4 linked regions of the Schizosaccharomyces pombe genome follow. Changing the gene in region 2 together with the main gene of any one other region gives a genetic interaction. Each region holds a gene or a part of one and is shown on either strand. Other genes may lie near its edges.

Region 1 (6,567 bases), 1.6 Mb from region 2:
GTACTTTTCAAGTTGGAAAATTTACCTCAAATGAAAAATATAATGAAAAAATTGAAGATATCAATGAACGTTCAAATCCACAATGGGATAATGCGGGACTCGAAAATTTACTGAATCAACTTCAAGATTCTGTCGAACAGTCTGCCTCCGACGATTTTATGGGTGAATTAGAGAAAAAAATTGAAGTTGAAAATGAAGAACCGCCGCTAATGGGTACAAATCTGTGGCCTTCTCCGTCAAGTTCAATTGTAGGGTTAATAGATCGACCATTTCAGGTCGACTCTACAGTACAGCATTTGGTGAATTTAATAATGCGAGATGGGAAAAAAGCTAAAGCTGAAAAGATTGTTGCAACAGCGCTCTCTATCATACAAAAAGAAACCGGTGAAAATCCTATAGATGTTTTGAAACAAGCAATCGCTGAGATTTCTCCCTTAATGAAGTTGGTACGTCGAAATTATTGAAAATTTTGGAATTTTTTGTGAATTATTTCTTTTTATAGTGTGTAGACGGATTTGCTAATATTTTGATAGGTTTCTGCAAAGCGATTTAACAAAAGTGTCGAATTTCCTATGCCATTGAAAGAGCGACAGCGAAGAAGGATTGCGTTACAATGGATCCTCGGTGAATGTAAATCATCAAGTCCTAAAAGATTATCAGATCGTATTGTTAAAGAAATCATTGCTATCAGGAGCAAGACAAGCAATTGTTTCAAAAAGAAAGATCATCTGCACAGAATGTGCCTTGTTAACAGAGGTAATGCACCCGTTCGTATATAAAAACAAAAATTCCGTACATTTTTATCTTTTTTATGAATTGCATTCCCTTTTAGTAATGTTATTTTTGTCTAGTATATCGAGAATTGATTACTCTTAGTTATCAACTCAATTATACTACGTAGTGCGCAGTTAATCATATTCATGTTTATGAGGTTATAGTTTGGTTGTAAAATAACTTTCATAATATTCATCAACATTCTTCTACAGCTCCTTTTCAGTTAACGGAAATGCTACAGAATTTATCTTCTATGAAGTATATTGTTGTTTTTTCAAAACAAAGAAGGGAAAGTAAATTAGTTCATCGACTAAACTGTTAATTTCCTCTATATAAATTAAATTGACAATGTACAGCTAGCACAATGCTAGTTTAGAAATAAACAACAACGTGCAAAGACACAGTATCCATTCCTTTATTATGGACAGGATCCATAAGTTCAAACGTGCACGTTTCAAATGCCATTAAAACGTCTTCATCGGATGTGATGGTTATAAAATCGCCATCCTCATCAACATACTTCAGTCTAACCCGAAAAGGAACAGCTTGTTTCAAAATCCCACAAAGCTTTATTTTATGTTCTACCTTGGCTAACAGCTCATCAAATGTTATATCATGAGCAACAACCAGGACGAGACTAACCTCATGTAAACGGAGACGAATTTTAACATTCGTGGTATTTCGAACTGATAGGGAGGTAGACGTGGAACTCGAGCTTAACGAAGTATGTTTAGTAGAAGGGAGCAAACTACCATCTGATTTCATACCCGCTGAATATGAATATTGACGAGGTCTCATTACGTCGCAATCATTAGTAGTAGGTTGATCAAAAATTTTTTGTTTCGTTGATGAAGATGTATCTTCAAAAATGCTGACTGAAGACCCATCATCAGTACCTGAATACACCCTAGTTATATGACTTTGACGATTGTAGTTATAGTCGTTCAATAGCGAATTGACCTGGCTGATACGAGAGATTTGGCTAGGAATAGATGCAGTCGATGAAGAATCGTTACTAACTATAGTTGATGTTGTTTGCGAAGTACGAAGGCTACTGGTACCCACTGATTCTTCGCTGTTTAAACGAATGAAATCCGATGGCCTTTCATCAGTTGTGGTGGCAGACTTTGTATCCTTAGAAGTAGTTTTCGTGAACGGACTAGATTTGGAAGAGGGACTGGAAATGCTTGTAGGAGAATTAACATTTTCGTCAAGAGAATGTGTACGTAAAAGATCATAGTCGGAGGAGTTGTAACCCTTTGAAGTCTGAGAAGAAGAACGATTGTAGACAGGGTTAGCAGGGGTCGAAGCAGCACTACGAATATCCTTTGGAGATCCGTGCTCGTTTTTCCATAAAAGTCGATTAAGAACGGACATCCATAGTTTATGACTTTCTTCATTACGTAACTTAAGAATAAAAGATTCATGTTGAGGATCACCACGCCAAAATATTTGAATAGCATATGAGCCCATGTGATGGTTGGGAACCACAGTAGTGATGTTGGATGTCAGAATTCTTCCCTTCAGTTGAAGACTATCAAGACGTTTAGTTTTCTTGTTCATACTTATACTTCGGGCTTGCCGTTTCAGAGTTGACATTTCTTTACAACATAACAAAATTTTTTCAAAAAGGTAAACGTGATACTCTCTTTCTATATCGGCTTTGCATACATTAACAACATCCCAAACTAGCAGTTGTCCAAAGTATTGAAGAGAGTATCCTTTCCAATCAATCACACGTTGTTCAAGCTCAATAATGGCATTTCGGTTTTCATGAATACGACGAGTCTCATTAACTTGGTTTGCTACACGAACTACACAAGCCATTCCTTGTTTTAGTTCCTCTTCGTACTGATAACCTGAGGGAGTACCTTTTAGTAATTGATTCAAGAGAAGCGGATATTTACATATACGCTGTATAGGCTTAATCAGCAGAGCTGGTAATTCATAAGAGGGCTCAAGCAGGTTCGCAACTTTCAGTAACTGATTTTGATTATCAATGATCAGTTGTTGAGCATTCGGAAAATTTGTACAAAACACTTGGTAAACAGAAAATCCCTCTTCTAAGGCAATGAAGAGTGCGCCTAGTCGTTGTTCTTCTACAGGAAGCGAAAGATTCATCTCTAAACCAACCAAAAAACGTCTTTGAAAGTCTAAAATCTCGTTTAAATTCGTAAATATACTGAGAATAGTGTCCTGGGATAGAATTTGTTTTTGTTGAAGTATGACCATATAGTTGGACAAATATTCTAAATCTTGAATGTATTTTAATTCGGTTTCATATAATTCGGCAGTGACTCTACGGCCAGATGCAATCAAGCTGTTAAGAGTTCCTGTTGGTACATTATCATCAGTAGAAGGACTAGGAGTAGAAGATGATTTTGTGGTATTGGAAACTTCATACTTTTTCAATAAAAGTTCAATGGTTTGAAGAGCTCTAACAAGTGGAGCTGTCGAGGGTTTATAAATTTCTGATATGGAAAAAAGGGCGGCGTCTGTGAGTCCAAGTTCATTTTTACACATGAGCATGAAACGATATAAACTAGCTTTACACACGTTCGTATTTTCCAAAGAAACCGAACTATTAACTTCCAATTTTTGCTTAACTGGCAAGCAATTGAACAGGGCACACAATGGATAACCTAAACGACAAAACAGCCAAATTTCCGTAACTGGATCATCAAATTCAATGTCCTTAAATTCCAGTATTTTGAAAGAGCTATTCAAGGCTTCACGATGAATACTGTCAAAGAAAGCAGCCAACTCTGATATATCCATCAATCGCTTCCGGAGATTTAGACATCGTCTGTATAATGAAACCGTATTTTCTAAATTATAAATAACTTGTGACGGAGACTGTAAAAGCCTAAGTTTCATGTATTCTGACAGATTAGTCTCATCTTTACGAGGACCTACAAGGTTTTGGGTGCTGTGATTGATGTAAGAAGGAAGAGACCTAGAGGATGCTTTTAGAAGTTAGTTAGTTAATTGCATACACATAAATGGCGTTTTTGTGTTCTAAATTTCTTTCAATCGTTACATACTTTTGCGATCCTGAAAGTAGGCCATAACTGATAACTTCTTCTCGAGACTCCTTCCTAATGCAGTAAAATACAGAAAATAAAATTTCCTTTAACTGCTAGAAAAGTATAAGTACTCGCATGTAGTCCAATGCTTGAACAATTAATGGAAATTCAAACCAACAACCCAATTTCAAGATTTCTTAAACATAAAAAAGCCTGAAGTTTCTTTGGAATTAAATATAAAAATTAAAACTGACTCCAAAGTAAAATTGTCTAAAATAAGTTGCTGTTTTACTGCAATTGATAAAATCACAGTATGTATAGTTGACAAGGTACTAAGGTAATAGTGAGACACTTGGCGATCAGTTGAATCGAATAGCGTATCGTAAATGTATTACGGTAAATATACTTGTTTCTTCAGTTCATTTGATAGAAAATCCTACTGCTAAGTCTTTTGAAACGGAGATATTATGACGATAAAATAGCTGGCAACTGAAATTTCATTGCTAAAAAAATGAAGGGATATCTCCAACCATCCCAATATTAAAACGATTACAAAAGGCAAGCTTGCAAATTTGGTAAATAAATTAAGTAGAGCGATTGTTTTAGTAATGTAACAAGGAAAATCATGTATTGAACGGGAATTAAAAAAAAAATTAGTAAGACACAAATTTGGTAGGAAAGGTAGATGTCCAAGAAAAGAGTGAGGTCTTTAAAAAGGACGACGATGCTAAATAAACCAATTCAGCCTTTCAATTGATAAGAAGAGACAAAAAAGTTAAAAAAATTAATGTTAAGAACGTATTGAAATACAGTAGTAAAATGATAACGAATGGACCTGATGACTTAAAAGTATAAAACAGGGATAACGAGAGTAACGGCTTAATAAAAAGACTGAAAACAAAAATATTAAAGTAAAAGGAGTGAGTGCTTGACAGAAAGAACAAAGATAAGTAAGGGAAAATAGGAAAGATTTGAGGACTAGGACTCGGAGCACAAGTTTGACAACTTATCTGACAACAACTCGCTTCGGAAGAAAAATTGTCGTAGTTGAGATAATACATCTTGAGGAACAGAAGAGCTCATATTATTAGTGATATCACGTAAAAAGGTATTTTGTTCTGCACATAATCGTTGCCAATCAATAAGTAAAAAAGACAGTGTTTCTGTGTCAACGTTTCTTCCCATTGGAGAGGTCGAATGAGAAGAGGGACTTTCGGCAATTTCATGAGGAGATAATTCTTTTTTCTGTAAACTGTCGTTGGTATGTTTTAAAGAAGCCAAGATGGAATAAATAGAGGATTCAGAAGATTCGGATGGCTTTTCGATGAGACCCATCTTTTCAAGTCGTTGTTCCAATACTTGTACGCTATCATGAACTTCCTTCAGCATAAAAGAAGCTGAAGGACCAACCTTGTTAATCTCGTTTGATAAAGATAATGTACCAAAGCTCAAAGTGTTCGATAGAGACTTAAGATAACGTAACTCTGTCTCAGTGGATTGTTTCCTGATTTCTTCCAGCTCTTTCTTCGTATTCTCCATATCCTCTATAGGAGCCTTTAGTTTGGTTAATTTGTTCTCCTCTAGACTGCTTAACTTGGGTAAAGATTTGAGAAGCTTCGAGTACATCATTTGATATGCCAGTTTCTTTTCCAAATTTTCTTTTTTGGCTTTGCAAATTAATAATTTCTAAATTTTGCATGTTAACACACTGAATTAATGTTTCTATTTAAAACTTTACATACATTGTGCAATTTGCCAAACAAATTGGCTTCTAAAGGTTCCACTTCTTTGCTCTCACATATCGACTTGTTAATTAAAAAGGAATTAGCTGGAGAAAAGGCCATCGCGCTTACAGTCGAAAATATACTGCGTTTGGCACTAGCTTAAAACATGGAAGCTCCAAGTACTTACTATGAGTAGCGGAAATTGTGACTTGGCGAAACGAGTAACAAATGTTTATAACTATGTATTGTAAAAATAATATTTTATGAGTACGAAGATTAGTCTAAATGAATCGAAACTTTTTGAGGTAATTAGTAATTCGATTGTAGTTAAGGTATTTTATCTGAGAAACCGGCTTTCTAACGTTTTACAGCCACAGATCACTTAGACAACTGTTCTGATTAAAATATAACTTTTCCACGAAAGCTGATTATCACTTAGACCATAGCTAAAAAATCCTAAGGCTCTAATTGCATACTTAATAGCCAGCGTATATGTCACGAAGTATGATCTTAAATTATAAATCCAATTCAACACACTTCCGTGAAAGCCAAAGCAAGGGAGACCTGTAATCTTGTTTCTGTTTAATAAAAGAAAGCGGTAAAGAATTTTTTCTAAAAACATTAAACCAATTTCTTACAATGTTCGTTCTACAGTGTCTTCTCATTTTAATTTTGACTGAATGCTTTTTCGTCGCACTAAATAAAAGTCTACGAGATGAAATGATTGTATCAATTAAATACTTTATAGCAAACAGTAAGTCAACACTGTGAAATTCCATTCAGACTACCGCATTTCATTTTTATTTTTTCACAAACAGTTGTGGGGACAAATGGTTTTATTTTTTTAAGAAATAGAGAGTAAAATATCTTTCATCAAATTTATAGATAGAGATTCATCGTATTTGTCTCTCGAATCTAGACATTTAACGCACATTTTAGCAGAAAATTTTTATCGACTCAAAATCATTGTTCATTTCAATAACATTTCATTATTATAAAACGTAACTTAAAATAAGTTAAATTCACAATTTAGCTGTTGTTTC
Region 2 (4,819 bases):
GCCAAGGCCGCTACTAAATCCGAAGCTGAAAAGCAAAAGCCTTCAGGAAAATTTGAGGAAGGCACCGGTGGTCGTGCTCCTCCTCCTCCTCCTGCTGAGGAAGTAGCTCCTGAAAACGAAGAAGTTGAAACTATGGAAATTGACGAGCAAAAGGAGTAAAAATGGAAGAATATTATTCTTTAGGTTTAGTGTAGTGTTTAATATTTCCCTATTTTATGCGAGAATTTCATTTACGCGGTATGTTTAAACTTCGTAAAATCGAATCTCAACTGGGTTTCGGTAGGATACATTTCAATTTAGATATCTTTCTTATCAGAATTACTGGAAGTAAGTTAAAATATAGTCATTGTTAATAAAACAAACTATTGCAGAAGCTTTAAAATAATCACATGTATTTAAGCAATACTGTAGATCCATTTTTTCTCCTTTAATGCTCTAGCGACAAGAGCAAATGAGTCAACATAATCGTATCACCTAAAAATGATTAAATTATCGATTTATTTTCTAACAAATGAAATAATATTATTTGCGAATTACCTGGCTACACTAATATTAGAGCTAAAATCAAAGTCGGACCATACCGAATTCTGCGAGTAATGGCAGAAGAATACAATAATGTAGCAAAAGTATAGCAAAATCGTCGTTTATTTAACGGAAAAAGGAAATATGCCTAGCCAGAAAACACAGATATGTAAAGCCCAAGAAGTGTGTGATTGACAGAATGAATGAAGAAGCACAAAAGCTAGGATGAAAACAACAAATAGCAAATATCTTTGCAAATATGAGGGATCGTTAAAGAAAGCTAAGACATTGTTTACTGTTGTAAACTAGCTGTATTAAGGAAATTTCGGAAAAGGAAAGAAAACCAGGGGTTAAATTACAGTACCAAACACTTTGACTTTTTCTTGTGAGGAACAGGAGGATCAAGAGCGGCTACAATAGCTTCATCAAAAACATTCTTTAACCCTTTTTGGGTCAAAGCGGAACACTCAACATACTTGACAGCACCCAACTCACGAGCTAATCGTTCACCTTGCTCATGTGTAAGGGGATGCTGATGCTGGCGAGCTAGTTTCTGTTGCACAGAAGGGTCATCACGTAAATCAATTTGGGTACCAACAATTAAGCACGGGACGCCCGGACAATGATGATGAACTTCGGGAAACCACTTTTCTTTCACATTTTCAAAACTGGCAGGAGAAGTTACACTAAAACAAACCAAAAAGACGTCTGTTTGAGGATAGGATAAAGGACGCAAGCGATCATAATCCTCCTGACCAGCGGTATCGAATAAACCAAGAGTGTATGGTTCATCACCGATCATGACAGTGACAGCATACTATTTTAGTCAGTAAATCTTTACTATAAAATGAAAATCAGCTATATCAATTAAAAACGGGAGTAAAAGCAACAAGAAAGTTAGAATAGTCCCCAATATAGCAAATAGCAGAAATAATAACGACCAAATCTTCCTGGGAAAGAAAGTGGTCGCCTCATCTTATTCCTTACGAGATAAGGCTTCCTACGGTCTTTAGATCTAGTGTGGAAAAAAAAAAGCATCGGATAAAAAAAAATTATTAAACTTTCAATAGTTTCTGAGATAAAATCGATAAATACATTGAGTCATTGTTTAATCCTTCAGCCTTTTTTTGACAAAAAGCCTTATATCAAAATTTTCCGTGACCGAACATTTGAATAGTAAAAAATTTCTAATATGGGGACAAAACTTCACCAAGTACTTCATTCCATAAACAACTAATTATACTTACATTATCGAATACAGTTGGCACATAGTCACTAGGAAACTTGTTTGTAGTATAGGAAATAAGCAGACAGGTCTACATTCAAACGGTCAGTATGTGTAAAACTCAAAAGAACAATTTTTGGAAAGAAAGAAATAAAGGGGAATGTATAGACAAAAGAAACTTCATTTTAGATGATAGCAATTCTTGTATTTTTTTATGCATTGCTTAACTTCACCTTCCGTAAACATCAACTCACCTTTCCTACAGCACCGTCTCCTACTACGACACACTTAATGGTGGGCATACTATTTCACAAAAAATAATTAATCGTAAAGCTTTGCTTCACTTTATTGAATTCCTAGAAAGTTCAAACCCCTAAGTATCAAACACCGGTGTTGGTTGTAGGTAAATATATTGTGCGGTCACCGTAATTAGTTCGCCCAGCCATGCTTTATTAAGATATACTACAGCGGCTAATCCAATCTCACTATTAGATTTTACGAATTGTAAAGCGTAAAAAAACTCAAAAATGCAACTTTTATTATTATATTACTAGGAATGAAAAAAATTAATAGATGCAGAAGTTATGGAGGCATGTATGTGATGGAGTCATCTTTCAAAAGTTTAGGCAATTAGCAAGCATAGATTGTTTAACAAAAAAGATAGCAATTTATCTAATTAACATTGAAAATTCATTGGTAATATTGGGTAAGTGTTCTAGTATCGGTATTTCGCATCCAAATAAGCCTTTTTTATAAATCCTCTATTTCATCAAAATCTTCTTCGCTAATTTCCTCCTCTTCTTCGCTTATCTCCTCACTTGAAGACGGTGCTTCCGAATAATTTATACGAATCCCTTGAAATCTTGAGCTACTTCGTTCTGGCACGTTCCTAATATTAGGATTCTGCTCATTTAGCTTTCTCCTTTTTTCGTTTTTCCTTCTTCTAGACGATTTTTTATCGCTCTTTGAGCTATGAGTCTTCTTTTGCTTCAAATTTGCGTGCTTATTGGTAGTCTGTTTCGCAAAAGATGAGACTGGTGTCCTTATAGCATGTTCAATCTGACTTTCCATTTTAGGCGTTATGAAGATTTTATTGAAAATTCTCTTTTTCTCATCTATAGAGGGAATTGGTCTTAAAATTTCGTAAGGTAATTTAATTTGCTTTGGATACGTAGTCAAACTCCATCCAAAGTTCTGGGATTTCACCTGCAATATTTTCTGAGCCATGTCGCTTAGCACATAAATGTAATTGTTTCCATCTTCAATAACATCATAGCTTTGTTTTATGCGTTGCATTAGATGAAAAACGATTGGGACGTTCTCACTATTAACAACAGTGTCAACGTAAAAGCGAATGTATGCAATAAAATCAAGCGAGTTCTCTGATTCTATCGAAGATATGTCTGGATGGTGAGAGAGAAGATGGATAAGATATGTTGCTACATATTCCATGGTAAAATCATGGGTTTTCTGGAAAAAAGCAACCTGAGAACGTATCCATATAGACGCTTTAGTCTTGATCTCCTCTTCCGGATCAACAGCAGTCAGGAACAATAAAGGATAATAACTAATTGGCAACTTTTTAAGTTGCAGCTGCTTCTGAAGCTTCGTCAAAAATAAATTTCTCACGTCAAAATTTTCATCTTGGCATAATAAGGAGATTTGAACGTAAGAACTAAAATCTATATGTTCCGCATAAAAAGGAATGGAACATAACTTTAAAAAATATTTGCTAGCAGTGAGACGTAAATAAGCACGAGAAATTTTGGGAGTATTCTTGAACGGACTTAATTCACCGTCAGCCATTAACAATACTTTCAATAGCTTAATGATAGGAGCTCCAATATTTAACGCTTCGGTTCCTCCTGCCGCCGCCCTCAGTCGATTAACCAAAACCCTAATTGCTAAAACTTTGCACATGGTAAGATTATCTAATTTTTCGTAAGTACACCATTCCTCATCATTATGCGTATCATCATATTTTTCAGGAAAGCGCTGTATAACTTTTTTTACTAAAAATTCTGTAACTTGGTCAGCAACCTTCTCTACCTCTTCTAAAGTGTATAGAAATAGTTGTCCTAAAGTCATAAGCCGTACAGGAAGTCCTCCATTATACTCCAAATTTTCCACGATATTCGTTATCATATCGAGTTTGAATTCTTTCGTCTCCGTTATAGCGATAATCGTCGCTGCCTGTTTGGCTTGTTCCTGTGTTCCATGTAGACACAACTTTCGTAGTATTTCAGCAGTTGTTGTTTGTATAGAAAAATTTTTTTTTCTTTTGGAGAATTGGGAAAGAGCTTTAATTACTTTAGGATCCGATTCAATGCCCGAAGAAACTATAATATTTTCAACTTCTATAACAACCTCTCCATATATGTTGGGATGAATTAGCGGTAAATGCTGTAAAAGAGCCTCCGACGGCTTAAGGAAATTGTGGTATTTTACAGGTTCATTTAATAATTGAATTATTTCATGCACGTTGCTTTTATTAAAAGCAAACAGAGCTGAACGGTAAACGAATATTCTAAAACATTCAAGACTTGCGGTACTCAACGTTTCAGAAACCCTTTTAAATAAATATTTTATGCTTTTTAAAACAACTTGATATTCACTTTTAATGGAAAACGTTTGTAAAAGCATTTTGTAGCTTTGACGATCATTAAGTTCCGCAAATTTTCTGAAAGTGGCTTCTGTTAATGTAGGATTAGAACTTTTTGATGATATGATATCAATCACCTTCTTAAGCTTGTTGGTAATTGACTCTTCATCATTATCCATAACACCTCCATTGTAATTTTTGCAGCACTCAATGTAGTAATTTAAGAGTTCCGAATACTTAACTTGTCTTTGTAAAAGTAGAATAAAAACTCGCATCGCTTTTTCACTAAAATACTTTATTGAAAGGAAAAGCCTGTTTAACCTTGTTTGCGTATCAGAACTAAGGTATTGTAGGACCAGTTCAGCCATACAAATTTCAACAGCCGCATTAGTTGTTTCATCATTAACATAAAATACTTCCAAAAGAGATGAAGGGATCCAGCTGAACATCTGTATTGAGTATTCCACACC
Region 3 (6,210 bases), 1.4 Mb from region 2:
AGACTTCTTCTAATCGTTGGACCCTGTTCTTTACACGATCCTGTTGCCGCCAAGGAGTATGCCATTCGCTTGCAAAAGGAGGCTATTAAGCACAAGAAGGACTTGCATATTATTATGCGCGCCTATCTTGAAAAGCCTCGTACAACTGTTGGATGGAAAGGGTTGATTAATGATCCCGATTTGGATGGATCTTATAACATTAATAAGGGTATTCGTGTCGCTCGACGCATTTTTCTGGAGCTTCTGGAAACTGGTGTCGGTATAGCGTCAGAGATGCTGGACACTATAAGTCCCCAATATTTAGCTGATCTAATTTGCTGGGGCGCTATTGGTGCTCGTACCACTGAGTCCCAATTGCATCGAGAACTTGCTTCAGGGCTTTCTTTTCCAATAGGTTTTAAGAATGCTACTGACGGTAACATTGGTATTGCTATAGATGCTATGAATTCTTCTGCCAACCCTCATCATTTCTTGTCTGTCACAAAGCAGGGTGTTGTAGCCATTGTTACTACTACAGGTAACCCTGATACACACATTATTTTGCGTGGTGGTAAAAGTGGGACTAACTTCGATGCTGATTCAGTGGCTGGTGCCAAGGCTAAACTCGAAGAATGCAACAAGCTACCTAGTATCATGATCGACTGTTCTCATGGAAACTCATCTAAAAACCATAAGAATCAACCCAAGGTTGCTGCTTGTATTGCTGAGCAGGTGGCAAACGGTCAGAAAGCAATTACTGGTGTCATGATCGAATCTCACCTTAACGAAGGTAAGCAAGCTATACCTGAGGATGATTTGTCAAGTATGAAATATGGAGTCAGTGTCACCGATGCTTGCATTGGTTGGGACGACACTACCGCCGTTTTTGAACAGTTGGCTGCTGCCGTCCGTTCTCGTCGTTCTCATTAACCTATAATGAAGGTTATTGAGACAGTTTTATAAAAATAAATTTTTTGGTTTCTTGTATAATAAATTTGTATTTGCCGTAATTAACAGTGTGACTTTTAAAAGGTTATTTATCGTACTTATCATTGCACTTTATCGGATGGTTCCAGACTGTTTCATCGTAAGTATTTTTATTTACGTTTTGGTTTTACTACGAATGTAAGAATTTGACCTGTTTTTGTTAGTCAACTAGGATAAATAACGACGAACAAAATTAATTCAATCAAAACCTAATTACATATTTTAAACATAAAACATAGTTAAAGTGAAAGTCAAATATTATATACATTATTAAAGCATATAAATGAAAAGTGGAAGCGTATGAACAAATAAAATGGCATAACAGCAGAAAAGCCAAAACGTTCCTAGTTTAAAAAAAAAAAGTGAAAAGACAATAATTAATAGCTCGACTTGAGCAGACAAAAATAATGAGATGCATAAAAGGAAGGCGTAAAAGCGTTTAGAATCCTAATTTGAAACTAAACTTAACAGGCCTCTGTGATAGACAAAAAAAGACCGTTAAAAGAACCTAAACGAATTGTAATCAGACAAACGCAGATATTAGGTTAAATAAATGTAATTGTGATGTTAAATACATGGAAGCTGCAAAAAACCATGGTCCAGAGAAACGTTTTCATCATTCAAGTAACATGAATGCAGTATATCTAAATGTGTATATATATAGAACAGATAAAAAATATTCGACTAAAGAAGTTGCTCTTAAACCCTCGCAGCTAAAGAGACACTTTTCATTAATTCCTCCAGCAATACCTCGTCATCATAATGCATGGGTTCAAAGGCTCGAACTAACTCTGCATAATCTTGCGTTTCTTCTAAGATGCTATCCCTCATGTCTTGAGGGATAAGAAACAAGAAACCTTGAGCGTAGTTTTCATAGAGAGAGCGTTGAATACCAATAAAATGATAAACAACACTGTGAAATTCCTTCTCAACAAGAGTAGAAATTGCCTCAAGCTTTTGAGCAGGAATCACAAATTCAGCGCTGATAATGAACTGAATAACTTTTTGAATCACTCGTAGGATATTTGTGATTGGGTTAAGGATAGAAGAATTTAAAGACGTTTGTATTTGAGAAGGAAGGTTAGCAGTCATCATGTGCGCAAGTAAATGATACTTACGCCACGTATCTACCGGCTTGTCTTCGGGCTCTAAAGCACTAAGCCCTTCAAGCTCTGCTAAAACCTTTTCAAAAACCGAAAATCCACGATGTACAGTAACGTACCACGTTTCCAATGTAGCATGTAAGGCTTTTAATATAGCGAATCGTTGTCGAAAATCTTGAAGCACTTGGCGTTGAAAATTCAATCGAGCATCAGTTTTTAACTCAGTAGATGTAGTGGTGGGCCTAGATTTATTCGATGTTGCTTTATAGAGTAAACTCCAAGCAGCGTCTCGTTTATGAGAAGCACTTAACGACCCACGCTTATGAGAAGGCTTCTGCTTCTGGTTTATACCAGATATTAACTCCTGTAATAGTTGATAAGAAAGGACCAAATCTGGGCGCTCAGAACTACTTTCAGGAGTAACATCAATGATTTTTTGCAATAATAGGGGGTACTTGAGTAAGCGCTGTAAAGGTTTAATTATTAAACTACCCAAATCCCAGGCGTTCGTGTATTTTTGAACTATTTTATCACCCTCCATAATCCAGGATGCAGTTGCAGGTTTCTCTCTCCATTTAGTGATAATTTTGAAAACCGAATCTTGACGGTTGCAATAACCAGTATAAATTTGACCGATTTCAGAAAGGCTTTCTAAAAAAATAAGACCTAAATTGCAAGGAAGAGGATCTATAAGCTGGGTATCCAAGTTTACACGCCAGGAGCCTTCACCAGCTTGATAAAGTCGACTATGGAATTCCACAGTAAAAGTTAATAAAGACTCTATATCGCCAAAAACTGTTTGGGCGTCAACTGGATTCAATGCACTGCATTCTTTGACCCGCAAGCCATAACTTTGTTGAATCGCAATGAGATCGTTTAAATAGGCAGCTTCAGTAGTAACCAGCTCTTTAATCAAATTTGCACGCTTTTTAATACGCTTATATTCTGGATTGATAGAACTGGCTTCAGACATAGCAAGAGATTCCTTTGATAAACGCTTACCTGGTGTGCTCGGTAAAGAAGTAGTGGCATACGAAATTGTTCGGCTGAGAGACTCATCAGTTTCCAAGGCCAAAATAGTAGAGTCCAACTTAGTAGAAAAAGAAGTAGTATCAAGAGGTGAAAGGAGGGACGCTGTAGACGAATGAGAGGAAGGCATACTTGCCAAAGTCACACTGGAACGCTTTTCTTGTTCATCCGTAGAGCTACCAGGTAGATACGCCGAAGTCCTGTTACTGCTAGTTTCAGAGGAATTCTGTGCCATAAAAGACCCTAGGCCGCTAACTCTTCGTGAAGTTCCATTGCTACTCGTGTTTGTATGTATTTTTCGAAGTGTTGTAGGACAGTTATATGATGGGGAACTAGGCAACGAAGGCAAAGTATATCGGCTAGACTGAGCATAATCTTGACGATTGCGGTCCCCATAAATACGATTAGGGGTTAAAGTAGAACTATTAGAGGCTGTAGAATCCCCATTTAATGAGTGGCTCATGTTGGAGTTTGGCAAATTGAAGGAGCCCTCCGAAAAGAATCTTCGGTGCTGAGACGATACGGGAGGAGTGTTTGGAGTTTGGGGATCTTGTAAAGCACGAGCAAAGCTTGCTCGAGACCTCCTTCCACTACTCAACCTGTATTCACTCTGTGATTCTGAAACATCGCCATCAGTGTCGTCTGATTGTCGGTAAGAAAGCGAATAACTGTTAGAAGGAAGGCTTAAATTGATAGATTTTCGTTTAATACATGCAGCTCGATGAAGCTTGCTTGTTCCAGGCAATCTTGGTAAATCCCTGTTTGCCAAGGTTTCAAAGTACTCAGGCTGATCAACATTGTTAACACATATACACACATTCAAATCAAGTATAAGGACATACGGAATCGGACATATCCGAAAGATCTGCTTTTAAAGTCTCCATATTGAAAACATTTGGAGAACAATAAAATGAATGACAATTTTGGAAATTTTGTTTACATGAATTTTATTAGGTAACGTTGTTGGTAAAGCACAGGTTTTGGAGATTTGGCGCCAACTTCTTCTTAATCCACTTTCAATACCTTCCACTTCCTTATCTTCATTACCAATGCATAACGTAATCACCCACGAAAAATAGTTTGCCAAAAATAGGCTTGGCTCAGCTTTTTGAGCGCCAACCGCGGACAGAGGCAGTTTACCTTTGTACTTGGTTTACAAATGGTTGCTTGCACAGGTACATAGTAATATGACTTGAGTATTCGATTTTGTGATAAACATTTACGTATTTACAATTTGTAATATAAGGTTAAATTTATTCATGTCTCCCTTTATGAAATTCTAGAAATGACAGCAGTTAAAATAAATTCCACTGTTACGGTTACAAGTTAATAAATTTGTTATTTCATTGTTTTAATTAGCTTAAATATTTAGAGCGGTTTTGTTTTCTTGGTAATGCACGTAATTTGCTTTGTTTTTTTTTTTTTTTTTTTTTTTTTTTTAATAAGTAATAAACATTAAAGATGTATATAAACAGAAATGAGAGAGAAGCGGCAGTTGATTGTCTTACATAACTTTGGTAAACACTGTATAATTTTAAAAGAAAATTTTTATTTTTTTTAATAATTACTTGAGGCTAATACGCTGCATTTTCTGTCTGTAGTACTTTTTTTCATATATTCAAAAAATCACGATATCTAATACTAAGTGTGTATGATAAACAGACCTAGTCAAAATTCCTAAATATTCTACGGTGTTCACTAAAAACAAATATAATGTTTCAGTAAATTAAACTAAAAATACTATTAATCGACAGGCCATAAGAAAAATATATATTGTAAAAAAAATGGAAACTTCCATTATATCTATTAAGATTTCTTCTAATTTCAAAAAGGAAGTGTTATTAAATCCTTTAACTTGTAACTTCGTTAGCGTCCGACATAGCTAATCATGCTTATAAATGGTTTGTTAAAATGCAAATGAGTAACATCATTAAAAATGATAGAATTAAGAAAAAAAGAGCATTAGTGTCATATAACTTGCAGCAGGAAGATTTAGAAAATATATAACAACATGTAAAGCTAGATAGCAAGGTTTTCAATTAGAGTCTTCAAAACTGGACACCAGCGCACACAATTAGTTACAACACCGGCACACATAATTTCTACAATAAATGCCTTCGCCTCACTAATGTTTCCTGTCAACGCCAAGCGACATGTTTGCGATAATTTTTGTAGCCAAAAGCCTTCCATGTTTTCTAGTTGACCTTGTAATAGTAAATTCGTTTTGACTCGTTCACCCAACATCTTATGAACAGAATCACTAAGATTTGATTTACTTTCTATAATTTGCAATAGGGAGTGCCTGACATCTTCACAAGAAGCTTCGTTCATACAATCGTTTGTTGTATCGTTAAACGTGGTAAAGATATCATTGTCACTGCTTTTCTTCATCAAGTTGAGAGGATTACTGCTAATTTGAGGAACAGAGATATTCGTGGGAGGAACAGATATACTCCTGTTCATAATTTTTGAAGGTGAAAAAGGAGGAAGTGGTGATTTACTAAGTACTTGACCAGCTAACGGTTTGGGTGCCAGCATGTCATCACCATAAACCAAACGTCTACTCGAAGCCGATTTCTTTAAACTTGATGTGGAAGACGTTCGTTGAGTTTGACTTAAAAAGATACCAGAAGAAGGATCGTTCCAGTGCACCTCAATTTTCCCAGTTTGATGTGAAGTCATGTTGTGTTGACGCAAATAATGTTGTTCTATGTTTAGTTTGTTTAAACGAACGAAATAAATAAGAATCTTTCTATCTCGACCAAAGAAACTGGCTGGTGTATTCCTTTATAGCAGTTCAAGAAGGTTTGTGGTAGTGGATAAGAAGAGACGAATGCAACATTGCCATATATCACATGTTCAATAAGGTGATTTCAGCAGCGGAACTATTAAAAACAACGGTAGTAGGAAAAAATGGTAAGGTTATTATAATAAGGATAAATATAAGTACTTAGAGCATCAAAGTTCGTAGCTGACGAATAATATCGACATTTTGGTGTAGTAAAAATTACCTACTCAGTTTTTACAATAGCGCTGAATGTGCAACGTACGGGAATATCATAATTAATACAATAATGGATTTCAAATAATAAAGGTCAGCATATTGCAATGG
Region 4 (6,547 bases), on a different chromosome or scaffold from region 2:
AATGGAAGGTACTGGTGTTAATAAGAATGCTTCTACTGGCCGCTATTTCTCTGAAAACGATGCTGTCCGTGTTGCCCAAGGTGTCTCTGGTTTGGTCGTCGACAAGGGCTCGCTTCTTCGCTTTTTACCTTATCTCTACACTGGTTTGCAACACGCTCTTCAAGATATTGGTACCAAATCTCTTGATGAGCTTCATGAAGCTGTCGACAAGCATGAAGTTCGCTTCGAGTTACGTTCGAGCGCTGCCATCCGTGAAGGTGATATCCAAGGTTTTGCTACATACGAAAAGCGTCTTTACTAGTCGTGTATAAGGATATTTAGGAAAAATTTAATTAAAGTTAATAAATTGCATTTATAGTACTTATTTTTTTTTCAAGTCAATTGTGTTTTGCTTAGGTAGAAAAAAACAAAATTATGTACATTGGAGGTGGCAGACATATATGTACGCTTGTATTTGATAGTGCATTACGAACGAATTGTGCAAGTTTACTAAGAGAATTTTAGGGTTTATAAATATATAATCTAATAAGTTATTAATTCATTAAAAATTCATATCATCAAGCTTATCCGTTTTTTTTTTTTAAATATACCCAACAGGATATTTAGAGGATTCGTATTTGAATATACGGACCTTTAGGTGGCTTTCTCTTCTTCGTTTTCAGCCATGCTTAAAGATTTCCTAATAATGTTAGCTGGATTTGAAAGATGAAGAGTAGTCAATGAACTGAGGCTTTGTCGAGTCTTCGGTTTAGAAAAATCAAAGTTGTGAATAGCTTCATTGTTGAGGATGAATGTTGGTGAGTCCATATTGGCTCTGGAAAAATTCAAATCAGGAACTTTTGGGACTGGACTACCATCCAGATCAATAGTGTCCAGATGAGGTAAAGAAACATCGTCAGTTGACGAGTCCTCGGCCAGCAGTTGATCAAGCTGTGTGGATTCACTATTAACTTCTTGCTTTTTCTCCAAAGGACTTTTTATCAAAAGTCCAGGTTCTGGTTTATCTTCCAACATCGGGGAGACAGGCGAAGTAAGATTAATTTCAACATCTATCTGATTCTTATTTTCAGGCCGTTTATGTGCAGGAGTTGAAGGCATATGCATAGTATTAAAGAAGTTCATGTTCTTTAACTTAGAGGTTTGAATGGGTGAGTTATACGCGGAGGCACCTGAGTCAGACGTAGACATTGAATCGTCGAAACGAACCCTCTTTTTTGGAGAACGTTTTGAAAATACAACTGGTTTTTTTGGAGACTTCACGAAAAACATTCGAGGCAAGTTATTATTAAGCAAGGGTTGAGTGGGAAAACTATGAACTCTATCACGATTGATAGTTCGTGAATCATCGGATGTTGAGTTGAGCTTATAACTTTCTGATAAGACAGATATATTAGGTTTCTCGCCAAGACCAATGCCCAACAACCACTTTTCCAGTATCGAGAATAGCTCTTGCATACCTCCCTCTTTTAGCAATGAACTAGCTTTGAAAGAACTTCTAAGAAGGGATTCTAAAACAGGAGTGAACTCATCAACTTTATTCTGAGCATCTAGAACCTGATTCTCAATAATTGATTTTAGCAAGTCAACTTCATCCTGTAACACATCAGCGTACATGGTAGCACCTTCTTGTTTGTATGTGTTGATAATGTGAGAAACACTTCTCTGAAACTTTTGGTATACAAGTTCAGGATCTATATCAGCAATGATCTCTGCACGACGAGTTAACAATGATTCTAACTTTGAACGAACTAAAAATACTCGTTCATCTGCGGAATTCGGAAGTATTCGCTCATAGCAGGATAACCAGTACTTAAGTACGCGAATTGAATCATCAAAATGTTTCACCTTTTCTACCTTATTAATAGTATCATTTTGCAGTGGTAAAGTCTCCTCAAATGTCATACGCAATAAATTTCTGGCTTCTGCAAGCTTCGATTCATGAGCAAAAGATTGAGTTACAGCGTCCTGATCAGAACCATTTGATTGCGATGACAAATCGATCTGTGCGAGACGATTCTCCAACTCTGAAATTTGCTCACGTAACTCAACGATTGCTTTTACATATTGGCTTACATGTCGATCTACACTGATCATGTTCCTTAACACTTCGGTTTTGATATTCTTTGCTCGATTAGCATATTTTAGAGTATTGTGAGTTTCTTCGTAATGAACAGAAGACGGAGATACGCAAACAATCATAACTGTCCGACAATTTCCGCCTAAACTAAACTTAAGTAAGCGAGTAAGTTTAGAATCACGATAGGGGACATGCGCACGGCGATGGGGATCACAAAGGGCATTGATACAATTTCCTAGGGCTAAAAGAGATTTATTAATATTAGCACCTTCAAAAAGACGACTACCTCTTAATTTGGTAGCTGTTGCACGTTCTGAGCCAGCCAAGTCAATAATTGATAAAGTGGCCAAAGTGTGGTCCTCATTGATGCCAGCTGTACGAGGTTTTTGGATCAACGTAACCTGCAATACAGCATGCGAACGAGATGAAGCAGCGTTAGCTTCTGTCGGAGACATAGTACGATTAGCATTTCCCTTCATGATAATATCAATGATTTCTTCCAAAGATTCTGGAGACAAAGAAGTAAGACCTGGTACAGTAATGCGACGGTCTGCATCTTCCCGTAAATTTAATGGCTTTGCTTGATTTGGGGTCGGTGATACTAATAAATCACGAATAGTTTCATTATAAATTTCCAAATAGGAAAGGCGAAGGTCAAAAATTTTTTCATCTCTTAAATGATCCATTCTCTCAAAAAGTTCTTTTAGTGTCAAATATATTAAACCAGGATCTTGCATTGTTCCACTAATGGTGTGAGTTTTACCACATCCAGTTGCTCCATATGCAAAGATAGTAGCATTGAATCCATCCAAAATATTGTCTAATAACGGCCTGGCAGTTCTCTCATACACCTGTTGCTGAGTAGCAGTTTCATCAAAAACCCTATCAAAAGCATAACGAAGATCACGGCCAAATCCCGCAGAATTGTTTGACTTTCTAGATAATCTAGCGAGACTCTGTTGAGAAGTAGAAAGTCTGCGGTTTGTGGCACTCAAAGTAGCCGTTGTTTCATCCGGGGGATCAAATACCAAGACACGTCCATCAAGTACCTTTACTACTCGTCGAATTTGACGTCCTGAACCAGGGTTCCTTAAGGAAGAAGATGTTCCAAATGATAAACGATCTGAGGATGCAATTAAATTTGCAGATTCAGCTGTACTAAATGGGCGAACACGGACTATTTTATGTTAGCAAAAAGATATGAATTTAAAAAACATCACATTAAAGACTAACCTGTAACGGTAATGGACGACTGTCTTGACATTGAAAAGCAAAATTTCCATGCAAGCAATCATCCAAAACAGATGAAAAGAAGGGCACTCGCAAACAACAATTCCAATAACCTTCTTGAATAAAAGCAATTTATATCGAAGATCACTATTAAAATAGATGTAACAGTAGAAAAGAGCGAGAAACGCGTTTTTTGAGTGCGCTTCAATGTTGACTGTTTGGCATTTGCCAAGTTACATTTCTTAGTCAAGTAACGCACTTTGTTTTGAATGGTTGTTATGGCAATAAAAGATGTAAACAATTACATTATTTACATATTTTGACAATAAACACAAATACAGGTAGTTACGATTAAAATCGAGTTGAAATACTGTTTTACCTTTTCATTTTCACTAGTTGTGTATAATGCTATCTCAGTATCATAGATGCTTTTACAGTATTTTTATTATTATAAAAGGCAACTAAATTCGATGATTGAACTGAATCGCTATCGTTTGGTTTGTAACTTATAATGTACACATGCCTGGCAAGATTCTTGCTTTGCTTTACTTTTATCACACTTTAATAAATCGTCCGACAAATTTAAATCATTTTCACCTATAATTGCAATAGAACATCAAATAAGTGTATATATTCTTCTAGCACTTCTATAAACACCACAACTGCTGCACTAGCTACTTTATTGCCAATTAACTGATGGCCTAAATATCTGATTAGTTTGAAAGCAGAGGACTAGTGAGCGCTATAAACAAAATTATATTCTATATTTTATATTGGGTATTCCTATATTCGTTAGGTACTAAATACTGAGTTTTACTTCACCTTTTAGTCGATATCGTTGAGACTTTTACCAATAGCAACTATAATGAATTAGGGGTTTTTCGTGCTATAACATTACCGCTCAATTTCTTTCAAACCACCAAGCGTCAAATTAGAACTACCTACTAAGCATTCGAATATGCAATAAAATTTCACCTTTGCCATAACCATAAATTTTACTATTGTTGGATAAGTCTTATTATTGCTAAGTAATTGATTACCTTAAGTTCATTTATCAAATAACAAAGCTCTACGTTTCAAATTTCAAAAAAAAAAACTTAACCTACTCATTGAGTTGTTTCAAATAAAAAAAAAGCAATTGGATTCTCTTCTGTTGGAAAGCACCCTTCATACAGCAATATTGGTATTTAAGGCATTGAATTTAAATATATTACTATGGCATTTCGTGATTCAACTCGCGATTTCAACAGAAGTAGACCTGAAAAAAGGCATGCTTCGAGATCTTCTTCACCTCGTTCATTTCGACCTTCAAATCAAAATGCAAGAGCAAATTATAATTTAGTAAGTAGGAAAATGTTAGTTGTTTTTGAATTAACCTTCCCTTTAGCCGAGAGTGAGAGATGCTATGAAAGAGGAAGAGCGAAGTAGGGAAACGAAAGAAATGCAAGAACGGGAATTTTTGCGTTTACAGCAGCTTCGAAGAGCTATTATTCGACTTAAGAATGATCGTTCTAAGCCTATAGATAAACTTCTTGTCAGCGTTTACTTGATGCCAGGCCCAGAATGGGAAGAGAATGGAGAAAAAAATTCAATTGATTTTGGAACAGTTGACATGTTTGATCCACTCTCTGTTATTCAAGTAAGGGACTTATTTTATTTTTACTTTATAACAGATTAATCATTAACATACTTAGAGTTATAAAGCAGAAGATTTGGAGGAGATATCTAGAAATATTGGTGATATTCAGCAGCTGGAAACGAACCAATGTAGACTAACTTATTGGAAGGTATGGATTATTTTTTATGCTTTAAGTGCTAAATTATACATTATAGTACGTTAAAATGCTAGTGAATTCTCGAATGGAACATAACAAAGTTGGGCAATTTTCAAGAGGGTTAAAGGTCGTAGCAGGTGAAGTACAAAGGATTTTAGCCCCTAAATCTTTTGAACAATTAGAACAGCTTGAGGCACAAATTCAAAAAAAATTGAAGAGCAATGTCCCTCTCGATACAGATTATTGGGTTGATTTACTAAACTCTTTAAAATCTTACAAGGCCATTGCTTATTTAAAAAAGACTTTTAATGAAGAATTACAAATTCGAAAAAATAAACTTGATAATGAAGAATGGGACAAAGCTTTTTCCGATGCCAAAAAACTGTCAAATATGAAGGATCGTGAAGAGAAGTTATATATTGTCCCTATAGACCCGAAGCCCATTTTGAGGGCTCAAGCGATACCACGCAGGATACAACCTGAAGAACAAGCCGATTATGAAAAAGAATTGGTAAGATATTTGTGTTTTTCATAATATTAACTCTCTTCCAAATTACGATTTCCATCTTTTGTCCTAACCAAAATCTTTTCTAGAATGATCATGTCAATATTGTAAAGTCTAGCACTTATATTCCAATATCGATACCTACCCAAAAACAAAAGCCAACTTTGCCGAAAAACAGTAATCTGATTAACGAGGATGAATTTTCAATTGCCAACAGGGCACGACTCGAAAGAGAATACTTACAATCCGATGATGCAGAGGAGCAAGAGATGCTTGGGGACTATGTAGAAGGGCAAACCCGTGTTGTTAACGAAAACGGGGTTACTTTGAAAAAGCCTCACTACTTTAATAGAGTTTTGCTTGGGTTTGAATGGAATTCTTATAATCAAGCACATTTCAATGAAGCCCACCCACCTCCCAAAGCAGTTCAAGGGTACCGTTTTAACGTTTTTTATCCAGATTTAATAGGTACAGGCCGTGCACCAACGTATCGAATAGAACGAACACGAAGGAAGAATAAAAGCGACACTACTGATTTACAAGACGATGTTTGCATTATACGTTTTATAGCTGGGGAACCATATCAGGATATTGCCTTCAGTATAGTAGATAAAGATTGGGATTACAGTGCAAAACGAGATCATGGGTTTAAAAGCAGTTTTGACAATGGTGTTTTATCCCTCCATTTTCGATTCAAAAAGCTTCATCATAGAAGGTAAAATAACTGATTTATCATGTTGTACATTTAATGAAATTTAAATTACTGTTACATGTGCAGCTAAACAACCTTAAAAGGCATCTACTAAACTACTTAAGTATTGCATAAATAAGTTTAATCGTAAAGAAACACGAAATCGATTAGTTCGTGATTGAAAAGCTAAACTAATTCAAGAAGAAGGGGGTGATAAATAGAAGGAAAAGGCATCATAGAAATTTGAAGTTCCCTGACATAAAAATATG

The links.
Region 1: of cdc42 (region 2) and scd1, a mutation in one rescues a mutant of the other (synthetic rescue), as found in Schizosaccharomyces pombe (3 studies listed by BioGRID, with this or other methods).
Region 3: of cdc42 (region 2) and gef1, changing one suppresses a phenotype caused by changing the other (phenotypic suppression), as found in Schizosaccharomyces pombe (5 studies listed by BioGRID, with this or other methods).
Region 4: mutations in cdc42 (region 2) and klp5 are lethal when combined (synthetic lethality), as found in Schizosaccharomyces pombe (one study listed by BioGRID).

The regions. Positions count from the first base shown.
Region 1 is NC_003424.3:3,513,106-3,519,672, reverse strand, and holds scd1 (RhoGEF Scd1), read right to left. Parts: upstream 4,127-6,567; 5' UTR 3,844-4,126; coding exon 3,819-3,843; exon of another isoform or gene 3,741-3,818; coding exon 1,147-3,740; 3' UTR 939-1,146; downstream 1-938. Other genes in the region: rsm7 (mitochondrial 37S ribosomal protein uS7m), read left to right, coding at 1-446, 534-779; protein Pos1, read right to left, coding at 4,779-5,486, 5,543-5,644. UniProt on the Schizosaccharomyces pombe protein: Required for mating and morphogenesis. May contain a cryptic binding site for cdc42 that is enhanced by binding Ras. Interacts directly with scd2. Promotes the exchange of cdc42-bound GDP by GTP.
Region 2 is NC_003424.3:1,913,338-1,918,156, reverse strand, and holds cdc42 (Rho family GTPase Cdc42), read right to left. Parts: upstream 2,149-4,819; 5' UTR 2,050-2,148; coding exon 2,002-2,049; exon of another isoform or gene 1,839-2,001; coding exon 1,770-1,838; intron 1,340-1,769; coding exon 878-1,339; 3' UTR 501-877; downstream 1-500. Other genes in the region: heat shock protein Pss1, read left to right, coding at 1-159; mitotic and meiotic cohesin loader subunit Pds5, read right to left, coding at 2,498-4,819. UniProt on the Schizosaccharomyces pombe protein: Involved in development of cell polarity during the cell division cycle.
Region 3 is NC_003424.3:468,918-475,127, forward strand, and holds gef1 (RhoGEF for Cdc42 (Gef1)), read right to left. Parts: upstream 4,074-6,210; 5' UTR 3,983-4,073; coding exon 3,941-3,982; intron 3,886-3,940; coding exon 1,666-3,885; 3' UTR 1,064-1,665; downstream 1-1,063. Other genes in the region: SPOM_SPAC24H6.10C (phospho-2-dehydro-3-deoxyheptonate aldolase), read left to right, coding at 1-909; SPOM_SPAC24H6.08 (uncharacterized protein), read right to left, coding at 5,118-5,780. UniProt on the Schizosaccharomyces pombe protein: Has a role in the control of cell polarity and cytokinesis. Involved in bipolar growth, via modulation of cdc42-shk1-orb6 signaling, and septum formation. Stimulates guanine nucleotide exchange of cdc42.
Region 4 is NC_003423.3:1,708,581-1,715,127, forward strand, and holds klp5 (kinesin-8 family plus-end directed microtubule motor Klp5), read right to left. Parts: upstream 3,538-6,547; 5' UTR 3,342-3,537; coding exon 3,311-3,341; exon of another isoform or gene 3,255-3,310; coding exon 634-3,254; 3' UTR 501-633; downstream 1-500. Other genes in the region: IMP dehydrogenase Gua1, read left to right, coding at 1-301; cay1 (cactin), read left to right, coding at 4,523-4,648, 4,695-4,946, 5,002-5,094, 5,141-5,593, 5,677-6,306. UniProt on the Schizosaccharomyces pombe protein: Has a role in establishing metaphase during mitosis. Required for chromosome segregation where it generates tension during kinetochore capturing.